Macaca mulatta: one gene and its partners. The protein of the gene in region 7 interacts with the protein of the main gene of each other region in a pairwise test. Links are inferred from orthologs where the notes say so. Each region holds a gene or a part of one and is shown on either strand. Other genes may lie near its edges. The genes, in order: MAPT, CAMLG, PRDX1, HSP90AA1, ARPC5, SH2B1 and EGFR.

Region 1 (4,109 bases), on a different chromosome or scaffold from region 7:
GCAGTGGCCCAACCAAAGCGCCAACACATTTCAAAATGGAGCGAAATCGCAGAAGCGCGGATTGTGCTTTGTTCCCAGCATTGGGCTAAATGCGCTCATCCCCACCGGGCTCCCTTTCCTCCAACGGCAGCAGGTGACATCTCTGCTCGAGATGGCAACAGGCAGCCTTGACCGTGGGCTCCCCTTTTCCAGGGCCGTCCCGAGACCCTCACTCCATCTGGAACCGGAATCCCGCGCCCAGCTCTGTCTGGGGGCGAGGGAGGAGAGAAGATGCTTGAACTGACCCCTGAGCCGCTCTGCAACCCCTTGCGGTGGCTCAGCCATGCGGGAAGCCTCGCAGCACTCAGGCTCCAGCCCTCGACGCCACCGTCGAGGAAGGTCAGCCTGGTCCCGGGCGGGCTCTAGTTCCCCAGTCAAGCCATTCCCCGGAAATTCAGATCAACCTGGGCAGCCCGCGTGAAGGATTCAGCTCCTAGATGCTCGTTCGTCTCAGAAGTGCGCCCCCCCGCACCAGTTTTCATCGATAGAATTAACCAGAAAACGGCGCGTACCAGGTTCATCACAGGAGGGCGAGGCTCGGATGCCTTGGCCAGGAGTTCTCCTTGCAGCCCCAGACTCGGTTTTGGGGGTACGGTGAACTTGGATACGGGTGAAATCCCGCATTTACGATAAATAATATTAATCAGTACAGACATAATATTAATAAAAATACACCCAAGGGCTGCCTATCTGCGGCCGCCAGAGGCCAATTAGAGTCTCAGGTGCAGGGGTTGGGGGCTTCCTCCCGTGTCCTCCAGGAGGCCAACTGGGCGCGGCCCCGCCTACCCCAGGGTCCCCAATCTCCCCAGGGAAGGGGTGGGGCCAGCCCCAAGGTCCCCTCTCCGGACGCCTGTGGTTCCCATGGCAATTCCCCCTCTGTGCCCCCTCCAGTGGGCTCAGAAAAATGGGTGTGGCCGCAGCACCAGTAACCTTATGCCCCCTCCTCACATTCTCCCGCCAGGCGAAGCAACAGGGCGTAAAGCTGGAGAGGCCCCACCGGGGCTCCCCACCCATCCCCGAATGGGTAGCCAGCGTCCCTCGTTGGGCAACCTGGTGTGGCTTGGCCCTCAGGACACTCGGGGTGTTGGGAGGGGCGTGATCCCTCTGCCGCCGCCCGCAGCGCAGCACGGAGACTCGAATCCCATCCCTTCAGAAGCTTCCTGGCGCCCGCAGACTCCGAGACGAGGCTGCGCGCGGTCACGCCCGTTCCATGCGTGCCGGGGGTCGGGGGGTTGACTCGGGTTCGTCGACCCCAGCAAGCCTCGAGATCCAACAATGGGCTCGGAAATGAGGAACGAAAAAGGAAAGAGGTGCTTGGGGGTGGGGGGAGGTTGGCTAAACACCCTCAGAATAAAAGCCAGAAACCAGGGCTGGGAGCGCAGATCACGTAACCTCTACAGACAAAGCAAAGAGCCCCCGAAGAAGGTGCTGGGTGAACGCCCCCAGCGCTCACGCCCGCAGCAGCAAAACGCCAAGATTTCAGCGCTGATTGTCCCCCTCCCTTTAATGCCAGGCCCCGCCCTGTCCTACGAAGCCCGGCCACCCGGTTTGGCATGGCACCGTAAAGACGTGACACGCCGAAAAAAGATGGCACCTCGGGAGTGGGAGGAGGCACAGCCTATCCTCCCCCCTCCTCGCCCACCAGGATCCACACCCACTGCCGCAGTGAGGGGCGAGCCCTGCGCGCCAGCCCCGCGCCTCCGGCAGGGAGCGCACACGCCGGGCACCCTGCGCGCGGAGCGCTGAGAAAGAAACCCGCCCCGAGATGCACCTGCAGCCCCGCGCCCGTCAGTGCATGGCTGCTGCTGTGCCTGCCCGCGAGCGGGGACCGGCGGCCGCCGACTCCGTCCACATCGCCAGGCCAGGTGACCCCTGCCTTTGCGAGCGTGCACACTGGGATCCTCGCACTGTTCTCAGGCACGGCGCTGCTCGCGTCTCTGTGCCAGGCGTGCGCAGGGGGAAGGGCAACTAAAGTGACAGCGCCTGGACCCCTCCCCATCTCCTCGATTCCTCCCAGCCCCCAAATGTCCCCTACGGGTTTCTGAAGGAGGAAAAGGGGAGGGGGCCGGCCCCCGCCTAAAATCAGGGGCGGTGAAGGCCCTGTCGGAATCACTGCTCGGGAGGTAAAGGGAGGGGCGTGCAGGGAGTCAGTCATCTTTTCTAGAACCCGATCCACATCTTCCTTAGGGCTGATGGCGAACAGCGGCAGGGACAGCGGATTTCAGGTTCGGTTTCGGGGGTCGTTATCGGACCCCTCCCCCCCACGCACGCCCATTGCGGCAAAAGACTGCGGTCGAGAGTGAAGGGCAGCCCCCTCCCCCAAGTCACCGCCGCCGCGCCCCACCCTGCCGGCACGGCCTCCACCTGGGGTCGGCGCGAAGCGGGTGAAGACCCTCCAGCACACACACACGCGCGCACTCAGGCGTGCGTGCATCCCTTGCTCACGTCCCTTTCCAGGCCGCCCTGGCCCCAGCCCCCGAGCAGGGGAGGCAGGGAGGGGCCCTGCGGTCGCCCCGACCGATGCCCGGCGCACGAAGCCCCAGTCTGTGGAGGCTGAGGGCTAGGGGCGGCGGCGCAGGGGTGCACAGGGGCGGACGGCGAGGCAGATTTCGGAGCCGCGGCGCTTACCTGATAGTCGACAGAGGCGAGGACGGGAGAGGACAGCGGAGGAGGAGAAGGTGGCTGTGGTGGCGGCGGCAGAAGGTGGGCGGTGGCAGCGGCGCTGCTGTTGGTGCCGGAGCTGGTGGGTGGCGGTGACTGCGAGGGCGCGCGCCGGCGAAGAGGGCGCGTTCCCGAGGCCGGCAGGCGGCGCAGGCGCGAGCAGCGGGAGCGCGAGCCTCCCCAGGGGAGGGGGCGGGCAGCCCGGCCTCCGCGGGAGCCTTCTCCTCCGGCCACCAGTGGGCGCGCGCGAGCGCCCTGCCGCTCGGCTGTCCGGCGCCTCCCGGCTGGTTCCTCTCGGCGCTGCCCTTTCCCGGTGCCCCTCCCCCTACGCCTCAGGCCGCGGCGCTGACCGCAGCGCGCACGCGCGTTCCATGGCGCACGCGCACTCTCCGCCTCCCATAGCTGGAGCCTTTGTCTCGTTGGAGGGGTGGGTGTCTTCTTCGGGCCCTGCGGGGTCGGGGCAAGGCCAGTGACTCCGCCAGTGGGTCTCCTGCCCCTTTCCTTTCAGTCAGCCTGAGGCGGTGTCCTCTCCTGGAGAGGTCCTGAGCGACCTTCCACGTGGCCAGCTCCCCAGTCCGTCCACCCCGACCCTCCGAGTCCCGAAATCGCCCCCCTGGCTAAGGTCGCTTTTCCCCAGGCTGCTTCCTTTCTCCTTGCTTTTTTCCCATCTTTTTTGTTACTGACCAAGGTGAATCCTTTCCTTAACAAATTCACTTAAAGCAAGCTAACTCTGTTACAATACAGTAGAACTGTACTTTAAAAAAAAGCATTTGGATCTATGATGTATGTAACCGTGACGCTAGAAAAGAAATCTTAAATTAGACGAAATTGAAATAGTGCTTAACACATCGCAGAACATTTGCACACACAGTTATTTGTATCACGTCTTTTGAAACATCTTTATGCTGTAAGTAGAGTTTGAAGTCTGAATGTTTAAGGGCCAGCTGGAGATTGTCCCCTGAAGAGGCATCTCAGCCTGAAACTGACCAGTGGTCCTCATTCTACTGGTCACCCAGGCACCAAGCTTCGGCCTTAGCTTGGATTTTTCATTTCCCCAACGTCAAATTTAAGCCCTGGCAGTGGGTGGATTTCTATGTATGGGGGTTTAGGGCAGCCGTCTCCTCCTAGGGAGATGGGAAGTTGTCTTGAAGCTCCAATTTGCATGGTTCTTACATTATTTTTTAAAAACCAACATATGTTATAGATTAATAGAAAAAGCAAGTAAAATGCTTTATTCACACTGAGTTTCTGGAACTGACCTTTTTCTTTCTTTTTTTTTTTATCCATATTAACTTTATTTTTAAACAGAGGGGCATATATCCAAAGAAGTAGGAGTGAGAACCACCGTGGGGGCTTGCTGAAAGCGATCTGCCCTAGCCTTCTGACTTCAGAATGTCTCATGAGCCAAT
Region 2 (4,163 bases), on a different chromosome or scaffold from region 7:
GCTACTTGAAGTCTGAGGCAGGAGAATTGCTGGAACCCGGGTGGCAGAATTTACAGTGAGCCAAGATAGCGCCACTGCACTCCTGGGCGACAGAGCAAGACTGTCTCAAAAATAAATAAACACAAAAGTTGAAAGAATTGTGCCGTGAACACCCATTTATATAATACCACCTAGATTCTACAAGTAGCATCTTATTATATTACGTATCTATCAGATTTTTAGTTTTCAAACCCAAGATAATCTCTGTAAAGTTTTTCCATCAAATTTTTCTTGATGCATTTCAAAGTATATTGTAGGTGTACACATCGGTATACCTCACCCCTCTTACATAACATTAACTTACAATTTACTGTTTTAAGGTTCTTTTTTTAAGTAAAAAAAAAAATTTTTTTTAGATGTAGTCTCACTTTGTTACCAGGCTGGAGTGCAGTGGGCACAATCTTGGCTCACTGCAACCTCTGCCTCCCAGGTTCAAGCGATTCTCCCACCTCAGCCTCCCAAATAGCTGGGACTACAGGCACGTGCCACCAAGCCCAGCTAATTTTTGTATTTTTAGTAGAGACAGGGTTTCACCATGTTGAGCAGGATGGTCTCTCTCTTTTTTTTTTTTTTTTTTTTTTTTTGAGATGGAGTCTTGCTCTTTGGCCAGACTGGAGTGCAATAGCATGATCTTGCTCACTGCAACCTCTGCGTCCTAGGTTCAAGCGATTCCCCTGCCTCAGCCTCCCAAGTAGCTGAGATTACAGGCATATGCCACCACACCCAGCTAATTTTTTGTATTTTAGTAGAGACGGGGTTTCACCATGTTGGCCAAGACAATCTTGATCTCCTGACCTTGTGATCTGCCCACCTCAGCCTCCCAAAGTGCTGTAATTACAGGCATGAGCCACTGTGCCCAGCTGGTCTCTGGTCTCTATCTCTTGACCTTGTGATTCGCCCACCTCCGCCTTCCAAAGTGCTGCGATTACAGGTGTGAGCCGCCGCGCCCGGCCTTTTTTAGGTAAAATTTTAAGGTAAAATTAGTTCTGAGGCCGGGCGCAGTGGTTCATGCCTGTAATCCCAGCACTTTGGGAGGCCGAGATGGGCGGATCACCTGAAGTCAGGAGTTCAAGACCAGCCTGGCCAACATGGTGAAACCCCATCTCTACAAAAATTTGCCAGGCATGATGGTGGGTACCTATAATCCCAGCTACTGGGGAGGCTGATGTGGGAGAATCGCTTGAACCCAGAAGGTGGAGGTGGCGGTGGGCCGAGATCCTGCCATTGCACTCCAGCCTGAGCAACAGAGCGAGACTACGTCTCAAAAAAAAAGGAAAAAAAAAATTAGTTCTAATATGAAGACTAGGGTACCAGCATAATTAATTGATTGTTTGAAATGCTCTTCTTAATTGTACCATTTGATATGTTTGACATCCTGTGAAACCCATACCTCTTCCAAGGTTTATAACTTTGCTGTCACCCCAAGAGTTTCCTTCATGCTCCTTTCCAGGCAGTCCCAGTCCCTATACCCCAAAGATCTTTTTCCCACCATAGATTAGTTGTGTTTGGCATAGTAATTCATATAAGTGGGATCATTCTTGATTTTACTTTTTTCTGCATGCCTTCTTTTATTCTGCATGATATTTTTGAGATTTATCCATGTTGGATAAATCAGTAGTTAATTTCTTTTTTTTTTCTTGGCTCAATAATACTCCATTGTATGACTGTATCCATTTATCTAGTCTCCTGTAGATGGACATCTTGGTTGTTTTCAGTTTTGGGTTATTATGACTAAGAGCTTCCTTGTATGAGGCTTTTTGTGAGCATAAGCTTTCATTTCTCTTAGGTAACTATAGGTTTTTATACTAAAAAAATTTTTAAACCATATGATTGGATTTTGTGATAATAAAGAAAAATTCTGCTTTTTTTTTTTTTAAGAGGGAGTCTCGCTCTGTCGCCCAGACTGGAGTTCAGTGGCGCGATCTCGGCTCACTGCAACCTCCACGTTGTGGATTCAGGCAATTCTCCTGCCTCAGGCTCCTGAGTAGCTGGGACTACAGGCACCCACCACCGTGCCCGGCTATTTTTTGTATTTTAGTAGAGACAGGGTTTCACCATGTTGGTCAGGCTGGTCTCAATCTCCTGACCTCGTGAGCTGCCCGCCTTGGCCTCTCAAAGTGTCAGGATTACAAGCGTGAGCCACTGCGCCCAGCCCAGTCTTGCTATTAAAAGTTTTTTGAAAATGTCATCTTGGAAGCATGACATAAATAATAATTTATTATATATACAGTACAATATAAAAACAAGAATATATTATACAATATAAATATAAAATATACAGTACAATATAAAATAATATAAAATATAAATTTTATATATTAAAACAGTACAATATAAAAAGAAATATTACTAGACAGGACATAAATAACTGCTAAATGACTGACATGGATAATGTGTGACGTAGGAGCTCACAGGAGATATAAATTACTCCAGTGTTTTATGTAAATAAAGCACAAGGAGGACTTCAGGGGAAGTAGAATTAAAAACAGGCCTTCAGGCCAAGTGCAGTCTCTAATCCCAGCACTTTGGGAGGCTGAGGCTAGCTGATGGCTTCAGCTTACAAGTTTAAGACCACCCTGGGAAACATAGGAAGACTGTTTCTACAACAGATAACAAAAATTAGCTGAGCGTGCGCCTGTGGTCCCACCTACTCGGGAGGCTGAGGTGTCTCTACTAAAAATATGAAAATTAGCCAGGCGTGGTGGCAAGCGCCTGTAATCCCAGTTACTCAGGAAGCAGAGGCAGGAGAATCACTTGAACCCGGGAGGCGGAGGTTGCAGTGAGCCGAGATCGAGCCATTGCACTCCAGCCTGGGCGACAGAGCGAGACTGTCTCAAAAAAAAAAAAAAAGCAAGACTGATAATCTGCTATTGTCTAGCAGTTTGAAGATTTACATATTATGTGCTCAGTAAATGTTGGTATATTACTGATTGTTTTAAAATATCATTAACAGTTTTTAAATCATTTAGGTTGAAAATAGCAGTATTGATTATGTTTGTATAGAGCTTATGTAGTCTGCTGAAACTTTGAAGATTAATGTGAGTCTTTCTCTACACAGAGTGAAAAGAAGATAAAGACAACAGTACTAACAGCTGCACTTTTATTATCGGGAATTCCTGCTGAAGTGATAAATCGATCAATGGATACCTATAGCAAAATGGGCGAAGTCTTCACAGATCTCTGTGTCTACTTTTTCACCTTTATCTTTTGTCATGAACTGCTTGATTATTGGGGCTCTGAAGTACCATGAAGCCTGCAGAACTGAGAAGGAGAAGCTTACAAAAAAAAAAAAATCCTCTTTTATATTGCAGTGTCTCTAAAGGAGGCAAATTAGTTTACACCTTCATGTAATTCTTTTACTTTAGGGGTTGCAAAACTACTTTATTAGAAATAGAATGGCAGATTCTCTGATTTAAAAGGGCTGAGTTTGTATTATTACTGATATGAAGAACAGAGTACCAATGTCATTAATTGATTTTTCTTGTTTAATCAGAATCCTTATTCTGTACCTTTCCTCTAACTTCTCAGATTTGTAATTCTTCTTTTGGGAGCTGAACTAGTGCTTTTAGGAGAACAGATAAACGTAGTCTCAGCCAGCCCTAGAGACTGCTTCTTGTATTTGTGTCATTCTGTCCTGAGAAATGAAGTCATCTGAAAAATAAAATGAAAGAAACTGAATTGTCTAATGTTAAGTCTGCACATTGTAACTTTTCTTGTTGAGTTAGTATCTTAATTTTTACTCCAGCACAAGTATTTAATCAAAGAAATGATTCATACATGTGAAATTGGAAGGTATTTACAAAATTTTTATTGCTGTATACTAAACTCAGAATTGGAACTTTTTGCTTTTGAGTTTTCACTTTTTAGAAGTATGTTTTAAGCAAGCAAAAACAAAATGGGATGTGAAGAATTGAAGCAAGCAACCCAATAGCATAGATGTCCTTTTCCCCCCAAATATGGTCTAGATGAGTTACTATAAACATCGTTTTTATTTTTTTGAGATGGAGTTTTGCTCTTGTTGCCCAGGCTAGAGTGCAATGGTGCTATCTTGGCTCAACGCAACCTCTGCCTCCCTGGTTCAAGGGATTCTCCTGTCTCAGCCTCCTGAGTAGCTGGGATTACAG
Region 3 (4,133 bases), on a different chromosome or scaffold from region 7:
TTCATTTAAAAACGACAAGGCAATTTCTTTATATACTAAGAAAACCTCTCACTCTTTCTGAACCATAATTAGTGCAGTGGCATCTTATTCATTAGACAGAAGCAGAGAGGGAGGCAGGTGAAGACTCTCAAACCAGAATCCGAATGCACAATGCCACAAACACTTTTGTTTGGCTCATAGTCATGTTGACCTTTCCCATTACTGTGCCTCCACCTGCCTTAATAACGTCAGAAGCATATTTGACTTTTCTCCAGGTAGCTTTGTCAAAGACAGCACACGGTCGACCTATAACTAACACAACTTGTTTTATTTTATTTTTTTTGGACGGAGTTTCGCTCTTGGGGCCCAGGCTGGAGTGCAATGGCGCTATCTCGGCTCACCGCAACCTCCACCTCTAGGGTTCAAGTGATTCTCCTGCCTCAGCCTCCGGAGTATCTGGGATTACAGGCGCTAGCCACTACACCCGGCTAATTTTTTTGTAGTTTTATTAGAGAAAGGGTTTCTCCATGTTGGTCAGGCTGGTCTCGAACTCCTCACCTCAGGTGATCGCCCAACTCAGCCTCCCAAAATGCTGGGATTACAGGTGTGAGCCACCGCACCCTTCCAGCCAGTCCAACTTTTAAGAGGCAAGACCACTGGGCGCGGTGGCTCACACCTGTAATCCCAGCACTTCCGAAGGCCGAGGCAGGCGGATCACAAGGTCAGGAGTTCAAGACCAGTCTGGCCAACATGGTGAAACCCTGTCTCTACTAAAAATACAAAAATTAGCCGAGAGTGGTGGTGCATGCCTGTAATCGCAACTACTCAGGAGGCTGCTGAAGCAGGTGAATCGCTTGAACCCGGGAGGCAGAGGTTGCAGTAAGGCAAGATCACACCACTGCACTGCAGCCTGGGCGACAGAGTGAGACTTTTCACTCTGGGCCATACAGTGAAGAAAAAAAAAAGCCGGTGGGGGGGGGGGGCGCGGGAAGACCAAGATATTGGCGTCTGCTTAATTTCAAATCTTTAGGTATTGTGTAAGCCCTAGAAGTCCCTTCACAAATGGGTTCCTGACTTCTGGGCTAATATCCCAGGGCGAAAAGAAGTAGAACAAGAATCAATTTACTTCTGAAAAGGAAGGTTGCGCAGGATTCACCCAGATCAACACCAAGATAAGCATCGAGATCTTGGCCTGTAATGCCAGCACTTTGGTAGCTGAGACAGGCAGATCACCTCAAGTCAGGAGTTCGAGAATAGCCCGGCCAACATAGTTAAACCCCGTCTCTAACAAAAATACAAAAAGTTAGCCGGGTGTGGTGGCACGCGCCCGTAGTCCCAGCTACTCCGGAGGCTGAGGCAGGAGAATCACTTGAAACCGGGAGATGGAGGCTGCAGTGAGCCGAGATCCCGCCACTGCACTCCAGCCTAGGAGACAGAGCAAGACTCCGTCTCAAAAAAAAAAAAAAAAAAAGTTCGCGACAGGCCTGGCCAACATGGTGAAACCCCGTCTCTACTACAACTACAAAAAAAAAAAAAAAATTAGCCGGGCGTGGTGACCGGCGTCTGCAGTTCCAGCTACTCAGGAGCTGATGCAGGAGAATGGCTGAACCCGCGAGGCGGAGCTTGCAGTGAGCCGAGATCGCACCACTGCACTCCAGCCTGGGCGACAAAGCGAGACTCCATCTCAAAAAAAAAGAAAAGAAAAACAGCAAAAATTTGCCGGGGCTTGGTGGCACACGCCTGTAATTCCAGCTACTCGCGAGACTGAGGGAGGAGAATTGCTTGAGTTCGGCAGACAGAGGTTGTCCCAGTAAGCCGAGACCGCACCACTGCTACTCCAGCCTGGCCGACAGAGCGAGACTCTCTCAAAAAAAAAAACAGAGTTTTAACCCACTGAGCCGCAGTCTAAAAGTTTTTCCAAGTCCTAAAGTTCTTTAAAAACTGTTTTTTAAAAAGTCCTTAACACCTTTAACGACAAAAAACAAAAACCAGAAACTAATGCATGCTGCAACTTGGTGTCCCCAAATGGCCTTCTCGTCCCATCCTACTTTCCCAGGTGGCTCCCAAGTACCAAACCCAACCAATTCGGGGTAAAGGCTGCTTCAGGCCGGCGCCGGGCCCCTTCAGGGGATCTGCCCAGTGCCGAGGGCCACACCCCTGAACCCCACTTCAGGTACCCCTGTCCCTCCCCAGCACTGTGTAAAGTACCAGCAGAAAGAGTGCTTCAGCGGGGACATTTGGGCTCATCACTAACTCCATTCCACGTACAGGAAAATAAAGACGGGGAAAGGGTACCCGAAGCTCCGCAGCTAGTCAAGGCTCAGGACCCGGAACAGCATTTACCCTATCACAAGATGGACAAAAATACAGGCTGTCTTCTACAGCCACGAGTCCGGATACAGGTCCATTCCAGAAGCTTCCCGAACCCACCCCGCCCGACAGGAGGCTAGTCTTGGAGACCCCACCACCAGCCCGCCCAGACGCCGCGCCACGTGCTCAAGTTGCCGGGGAACGACTCGACTCGAGTCCACGCTAGCCTTGGGGTCCCACGTCCCCGCACCTACGTGGGGGGCCCATGAGAGGGGTGCGCGTAGCGCTCAGGCAGTCTCGGGCTCCGGGTCTCCCCCGGCCGCCTCACGCATCACAGTACCCCCACCCAAGGGCGGGCGAGCCCCGGACAGGAGAAGGAAGAGGCAACAGACAAGAAAGGCGCGCCGCGCCTCACTCCGCAGAGGCCGCGCTGCCCACACTCACCAGTCCTAACACAACTCACAGATCAACACCACGGAAGAACAAAACAGGCAAGAACAAAACGCGCAAAATCCGCCCGGGGCGCTGCCTTTATAGCCAGTAGGGCTCTCGCGAGAGTCGGAGCGGACCAGGGGTTCTGGAAGAGAAGAAAGAGGAGGGGGATGTGGCCCGAGCCCCGCCCGGCGCGCCCCACCGGAATGACTCGGCGCTTTTCCTCGTGGGGGCGGGCGCGGAAATACTAATACCTCTCCCTGCTGCGGATGGCTGAGGCTGGAGTGAGGCGCTCTTGTGGCCGCTCCCAAACCCAAACGCTTAGGTTAATCCAAGGTCTCTGCGAAAAACCAGGATTCCCTTTACTTCCAGGACCACTACGCACTGTGCCCTTAATGCCCAAACCGGAGTAAGCGTCCTAGCTGCTGCCCACGGATGACCACGTCTAACCACACCAAGCCATGAGAACTGTCTGTCCGAATATTTCTTAAGTTAAGCAGCCTTAACCCCAGCGCAGATCCTCAGTAACCCTCATGGGTTAGATAGCTTCCTTCATTGTTCTCTTTGATTACAGGGTTGCTGCTTTCTGTTGTAAAGCAAAATAAAATATCAGGACTCCTAAACTTATGCCAAAGGGAAAGTTCAGTTTAGGACGCTGATTCAGCTACACGACCATCCTTTCCCCGGATGAATAACTTGACTTTACAATCTTGAGTCAAAATATTACACATTAGCCAGACCTACACAGTAAGGCAAAAGGCCTCAGACACTTCCTGATGACTACCCCCCACAAACACACATACACAAAATCACAATTATTTGCTACCCTGGAAACCTTTAAAGTATGTAGCCTCCCATAAAACAAGGACGTGTCAATTGTAACTAGATCTGCAATCTAAAGTCTAGTTCCTAAAACGAAAGTTTGTTGTATTCCACATTTTTTTTGAGACGAGTCTCACTCACCCTGTCGCCCAGGCTGTAGTGCAGTGGCACGGTGTAGGCTTACTGCAACCTCCACCTCCCGGGCTCAAGCGATTCTCCCGCCTAGCCTCCGGAGTATCTGGGACTACAGGCACGCACCACCATGCCCAGCTAATTTTTTATATTTTTAGTAGAGACGGGGTTTCATCCTGTTGGCTAGGCTGGCCTCCAACGCCTGACCTCAGGTGATTCACCCACCTTGTCCTCCCAAAGTGCTACGAATATAGGCGCGAGCCACCTCACCTGGCCTCTATTCCACAAATTCCATAAATGTTGACTACTATATTACCTTTCTACTAGACTACTTTCTACCTTTCTAGTAGTACCTTACTACTAGATTACCCTGAGTCCATCACACAATTGTTTTCTTCCGCTATTCCCATTTTCCTCAAACATTCACCTTATCTTGTGTAAAAATGTAGATTTAGGCC
Region 4 (4,122 bases), on a different chromosome or scaffold from region 7:
TTCAGGAGAGATGGAGTTTCACCATGTTGGCCAGGCTTGTCTTGAACTCCTGACCTCAAGTGATCCGCACACCCCGGGTTCCCAAACTGCTAGGATTACAGGTGTGAGCCACCATGCCCAGCCAGAAGTATTTCTTTAATCAGTGACAGTGATTATTTTTCCTATCTATACTTACTCAGATATTCAGGGATTAGCTCCTCACAGTTATCCATGATGAAAACTCTGCGTACATACAATTTGATGTTGTTCTTTTTCTTTCTGTTTTCAAACAGGTCAAAAGGAGCACGTCGTGGGACAAATAGAAGGGCTCTGAATTCCAACTGCCCTTCAACTGAAAAATGCTGTAATAGAACAAACACACTAAGTATCAATGAACAATGCATTATAGCAGATATTTGGGGTGGTGGGATGATAATCTAAAGACAAGCTTGAAGCATCCATCAGTCCCTCACTCACCTTCACTGCCAAGTGATCTTCCCAGTCATTGGTCAAGCTCTTGTAGAATTCTCCATACTCCTCATTAGTAATATCGTCGGGATTTCTGGTCCAGATGGGCTTTGTTTTGTTGAGTTCTTCTTGATCGATGTACTTCTCCTTAATCTTCTTTTTCTTCTTCTTGTCACCATCCTTCTTTTCTTCTTCTTCCTCATCAGAACCAACATCTTCAATTTCAGGTTTGTCTTCAGACTCTTTCTCTTCTTTTTCTTTTTCTTCTTCTTTGTCTTCTTTTTCTTCAGCCTCATCATCGCTGACTTCTTTATCACGTTCCTTCTCCACCTTCAAAAGACATGAAATCGCATCACTGCTGCACTCTAGAACTAAGTCATAGCGCTGCCCCACTACTTTCAACCTAAGGCCAAAGCCTAAATTACCGAGGATGAGAAGCAGCCAGGCAGCTTCTCATCAATATTTGATATATCTACTTAATAACCCGAGGAACCTTCACAGTTAGTAGAGCTTAGGTTCCCCAGGCTTCAAACTAGTTCAACAGACCTAGGAACTAAGGATGTAGTACAGTCACCCCAGTCACCTACAGACAGTAATTCACTCTGCAATTATGTAGAAACTTACAAAAAGAGTAATGGGATATCCAATAAACTGAGAATGTTTCTTCACAATCTCCTTTATTCTTCGTTCCTCCAAGTACTCAGTTTGGTCTTCTTTCAGGTGTAGGATAACCTTTGTTCCACGACCCATAGGTTCACCTGCAAGAGAAATAAGGAAAATTGACTCAATAATACATTCAATTTAGTGCTCAACGCCATGCTTAACCCTTATAACGTGTCTATGAAGCGAGGTTTGCCCTTACTACAGATGCAAAGGCTCCCACAGCAGATCTAAGTGCCTTGCCCAAAAGAAGTAATCACCAAGTCATGCCATTACACACTAATTCAGAGCTCTAGCTTGTTCCTGATCCTTGGGTAAACACACTTTCTGTGAACTTCGCCGCATCCCCAGGGGTCCAAGGGTTGCAACACCCCACCATTCCGCCACTGACTTAACCAGTGAGTGTTCAGGTACCTACCTGTGTCTGTCCTCACTGTAAATGATCCCCCTGCTGAGGACTCCCAGGCGTACTGCTCATCATCGTTATGTTTGGTGATCACAGTTACTTTCTCAGCAACCAAATAAGCAGAATAAAAACCAACACCGAACTGGCCAATCATGGAGATATCTGCACCAGCCTGCAAAGCTTCCATGAACGCTTTGGTCCCAGACTTGGCGATAGTACCAAGGTTATTGATCAAGTCAGCCTTGGTCATCCCAATTCCAGTATCCACAATAGTGAGGGTTCGATCTTGTTTATTTGGTATCAGGTTAATATGCAGCTCTTTCCCAGAGTCTAATTTACTGGGATCCGTCAAGCTCTCATAGCGGATTTTGTCCAATGCCTATTAACACAAAATATTAATTAAGCATACAGCCCCCAAGAAGTTCATATTGAAACCAAAATCCTATTCTGGGTTAATAAACGACTTACATCTGATGAATTTGAAATTAGCTCTCTTAGAAAGATCTCTTTGTTCGAATAAAAAGTATTGATAATCAATGACATCAACTGGGCAATTTCTGCCTGAAAGGCGAACGTCTCAACCTCCTCCTCCTCCATCGGTTGGTCCTGGGTCTGCGTTTCCTCAGGCATCTGGAACGACACCGCGCCGGTTTAAAACCCTGCAGGGCGTCTACAGGGGCAACACGAGATTCCATCGCGTCCTCCCAATATTTTTAAAGCCGGATTGCAGATTTGCGAAGTTTAAGTAAACCGAAAATAGAAGGGCGGCTGACAAAGGATGACCTCATTTCGGAGCGCGGTAACTACCACGAGCGTGTGCGCGCTTCCGGGAGGCCACTGCAGGCCCGGCCCAGTCCCGCGCCGCGGTCCCCAACCGACACCCCGTGTGCCCTCCCGCGCGGGCCGCGGCTCCGCCAGGGCGGCCTCCTCCGCCTGCGCCCCAGCTGGGCCGCCCGGGGGGCCCCCAGCCAAAGGGCCGCTCTGCTCGCGTGCGGCGCCAGCTCCGGGGCTGCCGCGGAGACTCGGGGAGCAGCCGCCCAGCCCATTCCTGAGGCGGGCTGCGGAGACAGCAGCGGGCCCACGGCCTCCGGAATAGGCAGCGCGGCCTCCCGGGAGAGCGGCCCTGGCGGGTTCAGGGCTCCCGTTCGGCCCCCACAGCCTCCGCTCCGCGCCAACCGCCCCCACTCCCCAATCCACCTCCACAGGCCCCCACAACCGCCCCTCACACCTTGGCTAAAAGGCTGCAAACGTTCCACGGCACAGCAGCACCAAGACGCTGAAGCAACTGACGCGCCGCCCCCGCGCCTGCCTTATATAGCGACGGGCCCGCCCAGCGCGCGGCGCTTTTTCCAGAAGCCTCCCGAACCTTCCGGAAGAACCCTCCCCAACCGCCGCCGCGGCCGCGCGCCTGCGCCTGCGCCCTCGCCGTGGCCCGCCCCTCCCGCTGGCGCGCGCAGGCCCTGCTCATGGCCCAGCCCGGGAAACCTTCCCTCAATCACCGCCCCGCGCCTCTCGCACGCCCCCGCGCCGACCTCAATGCGCCTGCGCGGCCTGGAATTCTCGGGAAGGTCCGGGCGCCTTCTGGGGCCGCCCGCGCCCTCCTCCCTGCACTCCCACCTGCCGAGCGCGGGCGGAGGGCACGCCCGGGCGTGGGGGCCTTTGAAGTGAGGTGTAGTTTGGTCACCCGGGCTGCGCAGAATGCGGGGCTGGGGCGGGAGGCGCGCCTGGAGGGAGGGCCGTGCGTGGACGGGGAGCGCCCCGGGTCTCGCACGCCCGGGAGACTACCGGAGCCGTCATCCTCACGGACGGCGCGCCCGCTGCCAAAAAATCCAGCCGCAGGCGGCGCCGGGATCGCGGGGCTCTGCTCCCTGGGGGCCTTTGGGCTGTTGGCTTCTAGCTGCTGCGCGCAGGGGACGCCGTCCCGCGGCCTGCGCGCTCGGGGAGTCTCCAGACCCACTGCTGGCTCAGGAGCGCTCCCTACCTTTGGGTTCCCCGGAAGCCATGTCCTTCACACTTCAGGGTCCCTTAGCTTGGGAATCGGGCCCTTGGTGAATAAATTCATGCTTACCCAGCTACACCCGGCATGCTTTTTAAAAGCCCATCGTTTTGCCGATCGATTTGAGGTCTCCAAATTAAGTATCTAACACTTGACATTTTGGTGATTAACCTTCCCTAAAAGACAGGTTTGGTGTTTTTTTGTTTTTGGACAGGCTGTCCCTCTGTCGCCCAGGCTGGGGTGCTGTGGCACAATCTTGGCTCACCGCAGCTTCGACCTCCCGGGCTCAGGTGATCCTCCTACTTCAGCTTTCCGAGTAACTGGGACGAGCGCGGGCGGAGGACCACAAGCGCGGACACCACACCCGGCTAGTTTTTGTATTTATTTGTATAGTTGGGGTTTCACCATGTTGCTCAGGCTGGAAGAACCAGTTTCTACATGAGAATTTTCAGATATTTTGGTCAAGGCCAGCTATGAGAACCTTAGAGGTGTTGGGGTTCCTTAGACTTGGCTCCCATGCCTCGTCCATGTCCTCTTCCTCTCTGGCGCCTCCCATGATTGGGCCTCCTCCTGCCTAAACTCATAGCCAGGTCCTCGGAATAATCTGGAAGCT
Region 5 (4,013 bases), on a different chromosome or scaffold from region 7:
AGCTGCCTGTAGGGCAGCTGTCATGTTTCCTGTGATGGAAGTTAAGGGTGTAGCAGCAAAGCATGGCCCCCAGGAAAGTATTATAACCACTGGTTCTGAAGACTTGCTTTATATATAAAAAGAAAATTACTGGTCACCATGTTCAATACTGGAAATTCAATGTGTTGGTTTCCAGGATGTTAATCAAGGGCAAGATATCAAAAGCAAAACAGAACATTAGACTTTCTTTTTAATAAAGCAAAGACTGTTTCACCCTTGGTTCTAACTATCAAATGAACACCTTGATAGTCTTTCATTGCCCAGTGAGATACATATGCAAACATTACCTAGAGTGGTGTTAAAGAAATCCTAGGCCGGGCGCGGTGGCTCAAGCCTGTAATCCCAGCACTTTGGGAGGCCGAGACCGGCGGATCACGAGGTCAGGAGATCGAGACCATCCTGGCGAACACGGTGAAACCCCGTCTCTACTAAAAAATACAAAAAACTAGCCGGGCGAAGTGGCGGGCGCCTGTAATCCCAGCTACTCGGGAGGCTGAGGCAGGAGAATGGCTAAACCCGGGAGGCGGAGCTTGCAGTAAGCTGAGATCCGGCCACTGCACTCCAGCCTGGGTGACAGAGCGAGACTCCCGTCTCAAAAAAAAAAAAAAAAAAAAAAAAAGAAATCCTAAAATATGTATCAGAATTATTAGTCCCCCAAATGAAATAACCTATTATCAACCAAAATATGTCTTTTCCTGTGATTCTAATTGAAAAAATAAAGACCAAACTTTTACTATATTCTATATTAACTGAAATGCTGGTAGAACATGCTGGCAGATTAGCAATCTCAATGATACACATTAGCAGTCTCTCAATATTGATGAAAAGAGGCATCACAGAAGATGTAATAATTCATATGTCCCTTAGGTGGCAGCTTAATTTTTTGCTTTAGATATTTTCTCTCATATTTCACAACGGTTATTCAAACTGTGTTAGACCATACCTATTAAATTCAGACTCTCTTTGAAAGCACTAGTGAGTTAGCAAGCATGAGAAACAGAAGGCCAATCAGACTGTCAGAATGTACCAGACATTCCCCTAAAAGGAAAACCACAGAGTTCACTTGTTCCTCCATCTCTAGTACCCCACCACTAGGGCTGTCTTTCCTGGCTGTATGTAAGGGTAAGAAAAGACAGTATCTTTTTATTTTAAGATGTACTGATCAAAAAGCGGATCCACTGATATGGACACAGCAGTCACCATAAATTACCTAAAATACATTGGGGTTTCATAAAACACCATCTATCCATCACAAATGTTTTTAGGAAGCATGTTCACCATTTATCTTCCGAAGAAAAAGTTCTCACACACACAAAATCTCTGGTTGACAAGCTGTTATTTTCAAGGCTGCAAGGATTTCTAGAGAAGCATGCCTCATGTGATTAGCTCATTTTGTATGACCCCAAGCACTTATTTAAATAATGCAAAAGAGCAACAGCTAATTAATTGTGAAAGTTGTGGCAATCAAAGGACTAGCTATATATTGATAAATGTCTAATGCTGTATTTAGGTGCCTTTAAAAAAGGATACTGTTGCCATTAAATATTTTCACTCACATTTTCCTCATATAACAGGACATTGAGTCTTCCTTATGAATACACCCAATAATTAGAAATGCATAAAAAGCCAGTGTTTGAGATTTTCTAAAACTATAGCTTCGGTTTTTTGCAACATTTACATTTTTCTAAAAAAGATGTAATGCAAATACGGAGTCAAAGTTATGAATATTCAAATATGCAAAAACAGAAACCGGGAACTGACAGCCATATTTTAACTAAAATGGAATCAATTTTAGGAATACAAAAAATTGTATTCATTCCCCTCCCCCGGTTAACAAATTCTGTGCAATGTATATTTTGTCAAATCCCCCCCTCCCTTTTTTTTCTTTTTTTAAAGGCCAATGGGCTGAAAGCATAGGGGACCTCAATTTTCAAACCGTACCATCTACCTTCTGCCCCCGGTAAGGAATAAACTATCTTAATGCTAGCAATAACAAAAACACAACAAAAAACAAAATCACTAAGGAAAGACGCAGGTTCCCCACAATCAGAAATTTCTGGAGCTAATGTGACTCCGGGAAATAGAGTTCTAGGAAGAAAAACTTAGGCGCTCGGCACCAGCCTTCCCCACCAGCCCGGGCCGCCTTCCCCAACGCCGCGAAGGCGCGGCCGGCGGGACCGGTTCCCGAGGCAGGCAGGCACTCGGGTGCAACCTGAGGAATCTGGGGGCGTGGAAGGCGCGCGGGGGAGGGCAGGCTTCCAAGAGTGGGACCCTCGCGTCTCCTGGCTCCTGAGTAGGAAACGGGGGCTTCCTCCTGCCCTCTCAGAGCGGGAGACCCCAAAGAGACAGGTTTAGCCGCAGGTAGACAGGGCAGCTCCGCGCCGGGGCCCCGCGGAACCTTCAGGCTCCCGGGTCTCTGGACAAGGGCGGGCTGGGCTGGGCTAGGGTGGGGAGGGCGGCGAATGCAAGGATATTGCCGTAGGCAGGAGTCCACCTCGCCCTCATCGGGCCCGGCCTGGCCGTCGCCCCCATCTTCTTCGTCCACGAACTTGTTCTCGTCATATTCATCCACGTCCACCTTCCGGAACCGGGCTGACGACACTGTGTTCTTCGACATCCCAATCCCTACCAGCGGCAAAGGCCTCTTCTTGGAGCTGCCTCTACCTCAGCAAGCCGAGCCCAGCAGCCCACTGCCCGGCGCCTGATTCACTTCCCTCTTCCGCTCTGGGGCGTCGCCGGCTGCCGTGGCTGGGACGGTTCTGGGCCTGCGCGCCAACCCTGCTGCTTCCTCCTCAGGTTCACGCTCTCCTGGCGCCTCCCACGCCGCCCCCACTCTTTCACGGAGAGCGCGCGCGGGGGAGGGAGGGCGCAGGACACAGCGCGCAGGCGCGGGCTCTCCGTAGGCAAGGGGCGGGGCTGGGCGAAGGAGGAGGGGGCGAGAGGGAGGGCCGAAACCTGGATCGCGGGCGGAGGTAAGAAACGATTGGTCGTCCGAGTGCGTCACGTGATTCCCAGGGGGTTCCCATAGAAACGCTTTTCTGCGGTCCAGTCTAGGGGGTCTGAGGTTGTCGGTGATGGGCAGCAGCGGCAGGTGGCATTGACTTTTGCTGCAGCCGTCAACGACCTGTCATCCGGGTCCTGCGTAAGGTCCGACTGGCTGGGACTTGGATGTGGGTGGGATGGACTTGGCTGCCGGACCGAGTGCCCTGCAGTTGGCAGGAGTATGAGGCGGAGTGATGCACACCCGGGCGCCCAGCATCGTTCTAATTGCCGGAGACGTTACCTCGGACTGTGCGCTGCTAGGGGCTGCGTTCCTGAGCGGGAAGCCCGTTTCCTGGGGTTGGAACTACCCTACTTGGCCAGCGGGAGGTCCCCAAGGACGGAGTCGAAAGGTCAAATCTTATCTGTCAGTGCTGTGTGACAGCATCACGACGGGATCTGCAGAACCTGAACTCGGTATCAAATCTACTGGGAGGGAGGGGAATGTGTCCGGGCAGGCGCTGGGGTCGGTTGGCAAAACTGGGGTGAATTTGTAGAATTTGGGAAAGGGTCATTGACATCTTAAAATAGGTGGTTGTTTGGAGCAAGAATGCTGAAAAGGGGTGAGGGTAGGTTAGGCTCTCTAGTGCTGGGGGAAAACAAAATGGGTAAGGATTGGTGGAAACCAGACCTTTAAGATTTATATTATGATTTAAGATTTATATGATTCCATCTAGGCCAGATTTTAAAAAAAATATTTGACATCCCCATTTCCGGAATGTAGGAGATAAAGGCACTAAGACGAAGGAAATGGTAGTTGTGCTGTGTGTATTACACTGAAGAACAAATATTTGCAGGATAAAATTAATTTGGACATTTGGCTGGACATTGCTCAGGTATGGGTCTAGTTTAGTTGGACCTCGAACAGAAGACTGGCTGTTGTCCTGTTGTGTGCCACAATCTTTGGTTTCCAGTGCTGTGTTGAAAAGAGCACT
Region 6 (3,500 bases), on a different chromosome or scaffold from region 7:
CACTTACACACAGTCACTCGCTCCGAAGGGCATGAGGGTGCAGGAGGCATCGGGGTGGCATCCATCTCCCTCGCACACCCCCGCATGGCTCCCAGCCTGCTCCCGGCCTGGGGGGAGGGGCAACGTGGGGACAGATGGGACGGTGGGGCAGGGGAAAGGGAGAGATCAGACAGGGACATGAGACATTGAGGGAGGAGGGAGGGGGATCAGACCGAGCGACCCCGGGAAGGGCAGGCCCAAGGCCAGGCTGCGATGGTGGGCAAAGACGAGGCCAGGATGGGTCCAGGAGACAGACAGACAATGGAACAGAGGATCCGATGGAATGGGGATGCGCCCGCCCACCTCTCAGCTGCCGCCCCGGCTCCAGCCAGGAGCCTTCTGCCTTCCTGTGTCCTATCAGCGCATTTCTTTCCCTTCCAAACCCCCAGGCACAGCAGCCTCCTCTACCCTGCTCTCCCAAGCAAAGCTTCTCCTTGTCATAGCCCCCCCGCCCCATCTTTCTGGCACACACACCTCACTTCTTGGGTGCACGGGCACCTCCTCCCCTGCAGACCTGCTCTGCTCACCCTGCTGTCGCTGGGAGGATGGGACATAGCTGACAAGGACAACATCACTGGAGCCTCCTGACTCCAGAGGGATGGGGTGCACCCGGAAGTGCTCGAGCATATCGAAAATGGACTGGAACCACAGGTGCTGGACCCGGCACTGACCCTCCTCGTTCAGCGACAAACGCAGGTGCTGAGGGCGGGACGGGTGAGGTGAGGTAGGAGGCAAAGACCCTGCCAGGTACAAACCCCCTCCCCCGGCAGCACTCCGCCACCCCACCGCCAACTCTGCACAAAACAGAGCCTTTCCTGAAGGGTGGCTCACCTTGGCCTTGCCCTGGAAGTTGAAGGTGAGGACGTATTCACCCCGCCTTGTCTCACTCTGGCGCACCAGGAAGACACCGTGGGAGCCAGTGCCGCCAGTCAGCACCAACTGCGCAGCCTTGAGCCGAGAGAGCATCCCGTGGAACCAAGGATACCCTGAGAGGGGCTGGTCCCCCTCACTGCCCTCTGGCTCCCCCTGGAACAGGAAGGACCCTTCAGGAAGGAGAGAGGGAGGGAAACCGGGGTGTCAGGGCAGCCTCCCCCATCCTGGGAGAAAAAAGCTTTGCCTTCCCCTCGAGGCGCCTGCTCCCCGCATGCGTCCCCAACTCCCCCGGGCCAGCTCCCTCGGGATCCCAGGAGGGGTGGTCAGGAAGGCAGGCACCCAAGCCTGGAGACATGCACACTCACACCTCCGGTACCTGTGGCTGTTTCCGGAGTGTCCAAGGGAGGGTAGGGGGCTGAGAGGGGATGAACTGTCCCTGCTGGGGGTCCCTCTTCAATGGGGATGCGGGGGGGCAACTCTGGGGGAAGCAGTTCCATCGAGTCAAAATGGGAAGCGGCAATGGAGGCAGAGCTGGGGGAGATGGATGCCGAGGGGCGGTCTGAGAGGCCCCCGTACGCCCCTGGAAAGAAAAAGGGCAAAGCTGAGAACCCAAGAAACTCCTCTTCTTAAGGACTGTCCTGGGCCCATTTCCTCACCAGTAGTCTACCCTATGTGTAGTCGCTGGCCAAGATGCCAGACAGCTCTGTGGGTAGTGACCCCTGATGCTTTTACCAATGGCTCCCAACTGATGCTTCCTGTGCTGCTGAGGGACTGCAGAGTTATTGCAAGGAGGTCCTAAAGTCCAAATGTGTCTCTATCTTTTTCTGAATCAACAGCTGAAATACTGCAGAAACAGAGGGTAGAACGTCTTAAATATATACATATGTGTTTTTGTAGAGAAGGGGTCTCGCTATATAATAGCCCAGGTCGGCCCTGAGTTCCTGGACTCAAGTGATCTGCCCACCTCAGCTCTGGGATCACAGGCATGAGCCACCGTGCCCAGCTGCCTGAAATATTTTGACATTCAAAAGGAGTCCTGGGCCGGGCGCGGTGGCTTACACCTGTAATCCCAGCACTTTGGGAGGTTGAGGTGGGAGGATCACTTGAGGTTAGGAGTTTGAGAGCAGCCTAGACAACATGGTGAAACACCGTCTCTACTAAAAATACAAAAATTAGCTGGACGTGGTGTGCACACCTGTAATCCCGGCTACTTGGGAGGCTGAGGCAGGAGAATTGCTTGAACCCAGGAGGTGGAGGTTGCAGTGAGCTGAGATTGTTTCACTGCACTGCAGCCTGGGTGACAGAGCAAGTCTCTGTCTCAACACACACACACACACACACACAAACACACACAGCCGGGGTGACAGAGCAAGTCTCTGTCTCAAAACACACACATACACACACACACACACACACAGCCGGGGTGACAGAGCAAGTCTCTGTCTCAAAACACACACACACACACACACACAGAATTCTGGCTGGACACAGTGGCTCACGCCTGTAATCCCAGCCCTTTGGGAGGCCAAGGTGTAAGAATGACTTGAGCCCAGGAGTTCAAGACCAGTTTGGGCAACATGGTGAGACCCCATCTCTTACAAAAAAAAAAAAAAAATTAGCTAGGTGTGGTGGTGGCACACGCCTATGGTACCAGCAACTTGAGCGGCTTGAGCCAGGGAGGTCAAGGCTGCAGGAAGTTGTGATTGCACCACTGCACTCCAGCCTGGGAGACAGAGCGAGACCTTATCTCAAAAACAAAAACAGTAATTTTTAAAAATAAAAAAATTTCAAAAACACACAAGCAAACAAAAAAAAAGTGTCCTTTGTTGAACTATAGGACAAAGCCCCCTAACTCTAGGAGGCATCAAAGATGCTCCTTCTATTACTCCCCCAACCCACACCAACTTGGTCTTTACCTCACCTTGTATTCATGTCTCTTCCGCTTTAACCCAATTATCCCATCCAATTTGTCCCCATATCCTGGGCCCTCCCCACAGGTCTCTGCTCTTGCCCTTTGCATCCCCAGGCGTGTCCTCTCCTCTCCTTGGCGTCACAGTCCCTGTCTCTCCCACCTTCCCCTGCTCTCTTCCTCCCCTGAGCTCCCAACGTGCTTCCTGCTTGTGCTGCTCAGGGGACATTAAGCTTTCTACAGGGAGTGACGTGAACCCAGCTGAAAACCTCCAGAGGACAAGCAGCTCATCTCAGGCATCCTAGCTACCCCATCCTGGCCCGGGACACAGCGCAGGGCCAGGTATGCACTAGGGGCATCCTCCAAGTCTGTCCAATGGCAGGCCACAGCCTACACAAATGTCACAGGCAGGCAGTGCTCAGAACACAGGCGTGTGGTGCACAGACAGCATGGCTTGGGAGACAGGGTGGCACAGCCCCTGTCTTCCTCAGTGACCCTCAGGTGTCCTCTCCCTGGTCTTAGCTACTGAGATCTGATGAGATGCACGGTCCACTCTAGATCTAAGATTCCATGATTCATGTGTTCATTCACTGAATACAGCCTGTGTGCTAGGCACTATGCAGCTGGAACTCAGAACAGAGGGTCAGGAGAAAAGGCTATAGTGGAGGCCTAATCTGGA
Region 7 (4,012 bases):
TTCCCCCATAGGAGGAGAGTGTACACCTCTTATGCTTAATGTGGGGATTAGGACGCATGAAACGGTGTCTGGCAGTCATTACGTCTAAGAGCAGCAAGTCCAGAAGTTAGCATGTCCCAGAACCAAACAAAACCCTTACTAAACAAAGTGCATCTTGAATAAAATCGACTGAATTTGATAGACACAGGTCTCAAACAAATTTCTGTTAAAAGAGCTCATCTCCTACTTTAATAATTTGCCCCTGAAAATTCAGTCTTTTATGTTACTGTAACAGAATAGCGCCTGTTCACCTACTCTCTCTGTCTTCAGGAGTTTCTGTTTTGAGTGAATACGGGATAAACAGGCAAATTAAGTGGTATTTATATTTTTCTCAGGAACAAATCTCCAATCACTAACAGTGGTGTTCAAGCAAGTAACATCAAAGAATGAGAACCCCACTGGAGGGAGAAAAGTGATGCTTTGGAGGTGCTCTGAGGGTTTAATTTAAAATAAAGAGAAGAGTCTCTTCAGCAGAGACAGGGCTGACACCTGACTAACAGGACCCGCAGTCAGCCCCCAAGCAGGCAGGAGGGGCCCTGCAAGCTCAGCAGAGAAGAAACCTTTCCACCAGTTCCTTCAATGAAAAGAGGAATCTTTTATTATTGGAACCACACCCCACCTTTTCCCTCTTTCCTATATTTGGCAACATTGTTAAAATTCCAGATGTCCTCAAAGAGCTCTTTGCATTGGCAAGTAATCTCTCCGGAGACTTTAACAATCCTTCTTCCGTCCGGTGATCCCCAAACCTGGCTCCCCAACAGATCACATGAAAAGCATTAAAAAAAAAATCCCATGTCCAGGTCTTGCCCCATGCCAATTAAATCAGAATGTCTGGGGGCGGGATTCAGACACTGGTTTTTGTTTTGATTTTTTTTTTTTTTAATCCCAGGTAATTCTAACGTGCAGCAAGGTCTGGGAACCACTGTTCTATGTCTTGCCCCTCCCCCAACGACCGCGCTGGGCACCAAACCCCAACTCCCCATGCCAGTGACATCAACAGCAAGTACGGGCCTGGCTCTTGGAACCCGCGCAGCTCAAGGTTGGAATTGTGCAATTAAACCTTCCGAGGCATGTTTCCCGTGTCAAGTGGGTTTATGGTCAGTAGTCACGAAGCCAGACTCGCTCATGTTCTGTCTGGACACTTGGCACACTTGAACCAGGGACATCAATCCGGTGTGTGTGTGTGTGTGTGTGTGTGTGTGTGTGTGTGTGTGTAAGACAGGTTTAATATTTTGGTTGGCTCAATGTCAAATTCTTCAGACAGCAAAAAGAAACATCCAAGAAAGAAACTCTCCGGGTTTTGAGGAGAAAACTTTGCTGTGAGCCCCATTTTGAAACACCGTGGTGCTGGCCAGGATGAGCTCTGCTTCCTGGGCTTCCGCACTAGAGGCCGCGATCCCCCCAGCAGTGGCCGGACAGCCGCGTCCCCCTCCACCGCGAAGCCCAGGCGCGACCGAAGGGCTGCAGGTGGGGCAGACCCGGACGTCCCCGCGAGGCGGCCACCGAACGAGAGCCCGGGCCTTTCTGCGCCGGCGCCCGGGAGGGAGCTCGGGTCCCCAGGAGGTGGGGGGCATACCTGGACCGGCAAGACGAGGGCGCGCCGGGTGAGGCGAGCGGCCGGGGTCTGCGCCCAAGGGGCGGGTCGGACCCCACCTGCCTTTTGCCAACGAGGAAGTTAACCGCCGCCAGCACCACCCCTTCCCAGGCGCCGCAGGTGGTGGCGGACTTCTCCCAGCTCCCAGGTTGAGGCTGCGACTCCACACCTGGGAACGAGGATCGCGGGGACCTGGAGAGGGGCCGGGGTCAGGCTGGCCGGCTCCGGCTTCAGTTTGAGACCTGCGCGGAGCGCGGAGGCAGGGAGGTTCGCTCAGGAAGCCGCCTGTCCCGCGGGGTCCGAAGGGAGGCTTTATTTTCGGGGTCCTTCCTCAGCTTCCCTAAACAGCGCAGCCTCGGCGGGTGGGCAGCGCCAGTCCCTCGGGTGCGCGCCGCGACCCCGCCGCGCCCTGGGAAGACAGCGCGGGGCGCACGTGCGGGACCCCGGCCCCAGGCACCCACCCGCACGGGGCTTTCGCCCACTGACGCCGATTCCGCGCAGCGGGGCGGGGAAAGTGAGGGTGGAAAGTTGGGAGCGGTTCGGGGCGCCGGAGGTCCAGGCGGCCGTTTCCCCGCCGGCCCGCAGCCCAGTGCCCCACGCGTCTCCTCCCCCGCCCGCCCCAGACTCTCCTGGCCCAAGAACGAAACGTCCCGTTCCTCCCGCGGTCCCGGCCGGCGGCGCAGCTGATCTCAAGGAAACAGGAAAGGACGGGCGGGGGCGCGGGCGCCGAGCCGGTGCGCCGGTGCGCGGCTGGGCTGGCTGCGGGGTCCGGGGCGCGATCCGGGGGCAGCGCGGGAGCCGGCGAGACACGCCCTTACCTTTCTTTTCCTCCAGAGCCCGACTCGCGGGGCAGAGCGCAGCCAGCAGCGCCAGGAGCGCGGCCCCGGCCGTCCCGGAGGGTCGCATAGCTGCTCCCCGAAGAGCAAGCTCCGGCTCTCCGGATCAATAGTGGACGGAGTCAGGCGGCCGTGCGCGGTGGTTGTGGCGTTAGCGGCGAGGCGGGGACTCGGGCGGACGCCGACGAGGTGGCCTGTCGTCCGGTCTGGGCGGCGGCGGCCGCCGGGGCTAGCTCGGGACTCCGGCCGCTTTGGCCGCGGCGGGCGCGCACACCGTGCCGGGGGCGGAGGCTGCTGCGGCCGCGCTGCGCCGGGGGCTGCCCGGACGTCTAGCTCGCGCGGGCCGGGGCGCGGGGAGGCAGGGCGGGAGGAGGAGGGACCAGGCGGCGGAGGAGGGATCGGGAGGAGCAGAGGAGGAGGAGAATGAGAGGAGGAGGGAGGAGAACCAGCCGCGGGGACCCAAGGCCAGCGGCCGCCGGAGGCGGTGGACAGCGGTGACCCCCGCGGGACCCGGTCTCCCGCGGGAAGGGGGTGGCGCGCGGGAGGGGAGCGGGTGCCCTGAGGAGTTAATTTCCGTGAGGGGCGTTCACAGCACTGCCCCTCTGGACTGGGTCCCCGCAGACTTGCAGGCCCAGCCTATGTCGAGGTCGAGCCAAATCTGTGCCAGGGTCCCCTTCCCCCTTTCCCTTCTTTTGTTTTACAGAACAAACTTCTACCAGCTTTAGACAGACTGGCCGAGCCCTAGAGCCAGCGTCGAATAATGGCACCGACGGGGAAACTGCTCCTTTATTCTGGTCCCCACCTCCCCTGCAGCACCCAGGGACCCTCGCGGGGATCAGAGGCTGGCCTGGCAGCTGAGGAGGTCGCTGTGCCCGCGCGGCAGGGGTGCCAGGCGTCCGAGGTGGTGCTCTAAAGTCCGAGGGTCCTTCAGATCCCGTGAAGCACCCTAGAAATCGTCTGAAATGAGAGCACCCAACTTTGGGCGCAGAGACAGGCCTCCTCAATGTTTACTGCAACCGGCCGTGGGTACTTTGAAGCCAATGTGTGAAGCACGTTACTTCGCAAAAGTGAGGCTCTTGGAATAAAGGCTTGACACAAACAGCTGTGGAGATGCTTTTAGAGAGGCTAAGTGTCCCACTGCACCGGTAGCTCCCGCAGGAGAAATGCCAGGGAAGTTCGCGAAAGTTTGGCCGAAAGAAACTGAGCTGCTTTAGGCTGCAGGAACTTGAGCTACATTCCTTTGGCAAGTCCACCCCATCCCCACTGTTGCTTCTCCTGCAGTAAGAATGTCCTCTAGGTCCATGTTACAGTCAGACCCCTCCTCTCTTCACGAGATTCACTAGGACCTTCAGGCCTGGTTCAACAACCCTGATCTCCCGGCTCTGTCAAAAATCATAATCCTGAAGTAAGTAGAGCTACAGATCTGCCCTTTGCTGTCTCTGAAGGGGAGCAACCTTGCATCTTTCCTCCGCATCCAGCGAAGTGTTTGTGCCTGGGTTTCACGCCCTGCAGCCTGAACGGTGGGTTTTTCACCACGGCAAGC

Evidence for each region.
Region 1: the proteins of EGFR (region 7) and MAPT interact in a protein complementation assay, tested with the Homo sapiens proteins (3 studies listed by BioGRID and IntAct, with this or other methods). The link is inferred for Macaca mulatta from reciprocal best matches to the Homo sapiens genes EGFR and MAPT.
Region 2: the proteins of EGFR (region 7) and CAMLG interact in binary tests that used the Homo sapiens proteins (3 or more experiments, as listed by UniProt). The link is inferred for Macaca mulatta from reciprocal best matches to the Homo sapiens genes EGFR and CAMLG.
Region 3: the proteins of EGFR (region 7) and PRDX1 interact in a protein complementation assay, tested with the Homo sapiens proteins (2 studies listed by BioGRID and IntAct). The link is inferred for Macaca mulatta from reciprocal best matches to the Homo sapiens genes EGFR and PRDX1.
Region 4: the proteins of EGFR (region 7) and HSP90AA1 interact in binary tests that used the Homo sapiens proteins (3 or more experiments, as listed by UniProt). The link is inferred for Macaca mulatta from reciprocal best matches to the Homo sapiens genes EGFR and HSP90AA1.
Region 5: the proteins of EGFR (region 7) and ARPC5 interact in a protein complementation assay, tested with the Homo sapiens proteins (2 studies listed by IntAct). The link is inferred for Macaca mulatta from reciprocal best matches to the Homo sapiens genes EGFR and ARPC5.
Region 6: the proteins of EGFR (region 7) and SH2B1 interact in binary tests that used the Homo sapiens proteins (3 or more experiments, as listed by UniProt). The link is inferred for Macaca mulatta from reciprocal best matches to the Homo sapiens genes EGFR and SH2B1.

What each region holds. Positions count from the first base shown.
Region 1 is NC_133421.1:70,796,048-70,800,156, reverse strand, and holds the start of MAPT (microtubule-associated protein tau), read right to left. Parts: upstream 2,801-4,109; 5' UTR 2,668-2,800; intron 1,949-2,667; exon of another isoform or gene 1,811-1,948; intron 1-1,810. UniProt on the Homo sapiens protein: Promotes microtubule assembly and stability, and might be involved in the establishment and maintenance of neuronal polarity.
Region 2 is NC_133411.1:143,664,713-143,668,875, forward strand, and holds the end of CAMLG (guided entry of tail-anchored proteins factor CAMLG), read left to right. Parts: intron 1-3,097; coding exon 3,098-3,289; 3' UTR 3,290-3,663; downstream 3,664-4,163. UniProt on the Homo sapiens protein: Required for the post-translational delivery of tail-anchored (TA) proteins to the endoplasmic reticulum.
Region 3 is NC_133406.1:195,090,957-195,095,089, reverse strand, and holds the start of PRDX1 (peroxiredoxin-1), read right to left. Parts: upstream 2,801-4,133; 5' UTR 2,734-2,800; intron 1-2,733. UniProt on the Homo sapiens protein: Thiol-specific peroxidase that catalyzes the reduction of hydrogen peroxide and organic hydroperoxides to water and alcohols, respectively.
Region 4 is NC_133412.1:175,437,709-175,441,830, forward strand, and holds the start of HSP90AA1 (heat shock protein HSP 90-alpha), read right to left. Parts: upstream 2,801-4,122; 5' UTR 2,742-2,800; intron 2,144-2,741; coding exon 1,982-2,143; intron 1,893-1,981; coding exon 1,526-1,892; intron 1,206-1,525; coding exon 1,072-1,205; intron 778-1,071; coding exon 457-777; intron 342-456; coding exon 176-341; intron 1-175. UniProt on the Homo sapiens protein: Molecular chaperone that promotes the maturation, structural maintenance and proper regulation of specific target proteins involved for instance in cell cycle control and signal transduction.
Region 5 is NC_133406.1:41,108,321-41,112,333, forward strand, and holds the start of ARPC5 (actin-related protein 2/3 complex subunit 5), read right to left. Parts: upstream 2,801-4,013; 5' UTR 2,657-2,800; coding exon 2,513-2,656; exon of another isoform or gene 1,570-2,512; intron 31-1,569; coding exon 1-30. UniProt on the Homo sapiens protein: Component of the Arp2/3 complex, a multiprotein complex that mediates actin polymerization upon stimulation by nucleation-promoting factor (NPF).
Region 6 is NC_133425.1:28,067,778-28,071,277, forward strand, and holds part of SH2B1 (SH2B adapter protein 1), read right to left. Parts: intron 1,514-3,500; coding exon 1,289-1,513; intron 1,083-1,288; coding exon 871-1,082; intron 739-870; coding exon 567-738; coding exon of another isoform or gene 514-566; intron 108-513; coding exon of another isoform or gene 8-107; intron 1-7. UniProt on the Homo sapiens protein: Adapter protein for several members of the tyrosine kinase receptor family.
Region 7 is NC_133408.1:73,468,115-73,472,126, forward strand, and holds the start of EGFR (epidermal growth factor receptor), read right to left. Parts: upstream 2,801-4,012; 5' UTR 2,540-2,800; coding exon 2,452-2,539; intron 2,313-2,451; exon of another isoform or gene 2,257-2,312; intron 1,901-2,256; exon of another isoform or gene 1,761-1,900; intron 1-1,760. UniProt on the Homo sapiens protein: Receptor tyrosine kinase binding ligands of the EGF family and activating several signaling cascades to convert extracellular cues into appropriate cellular responses.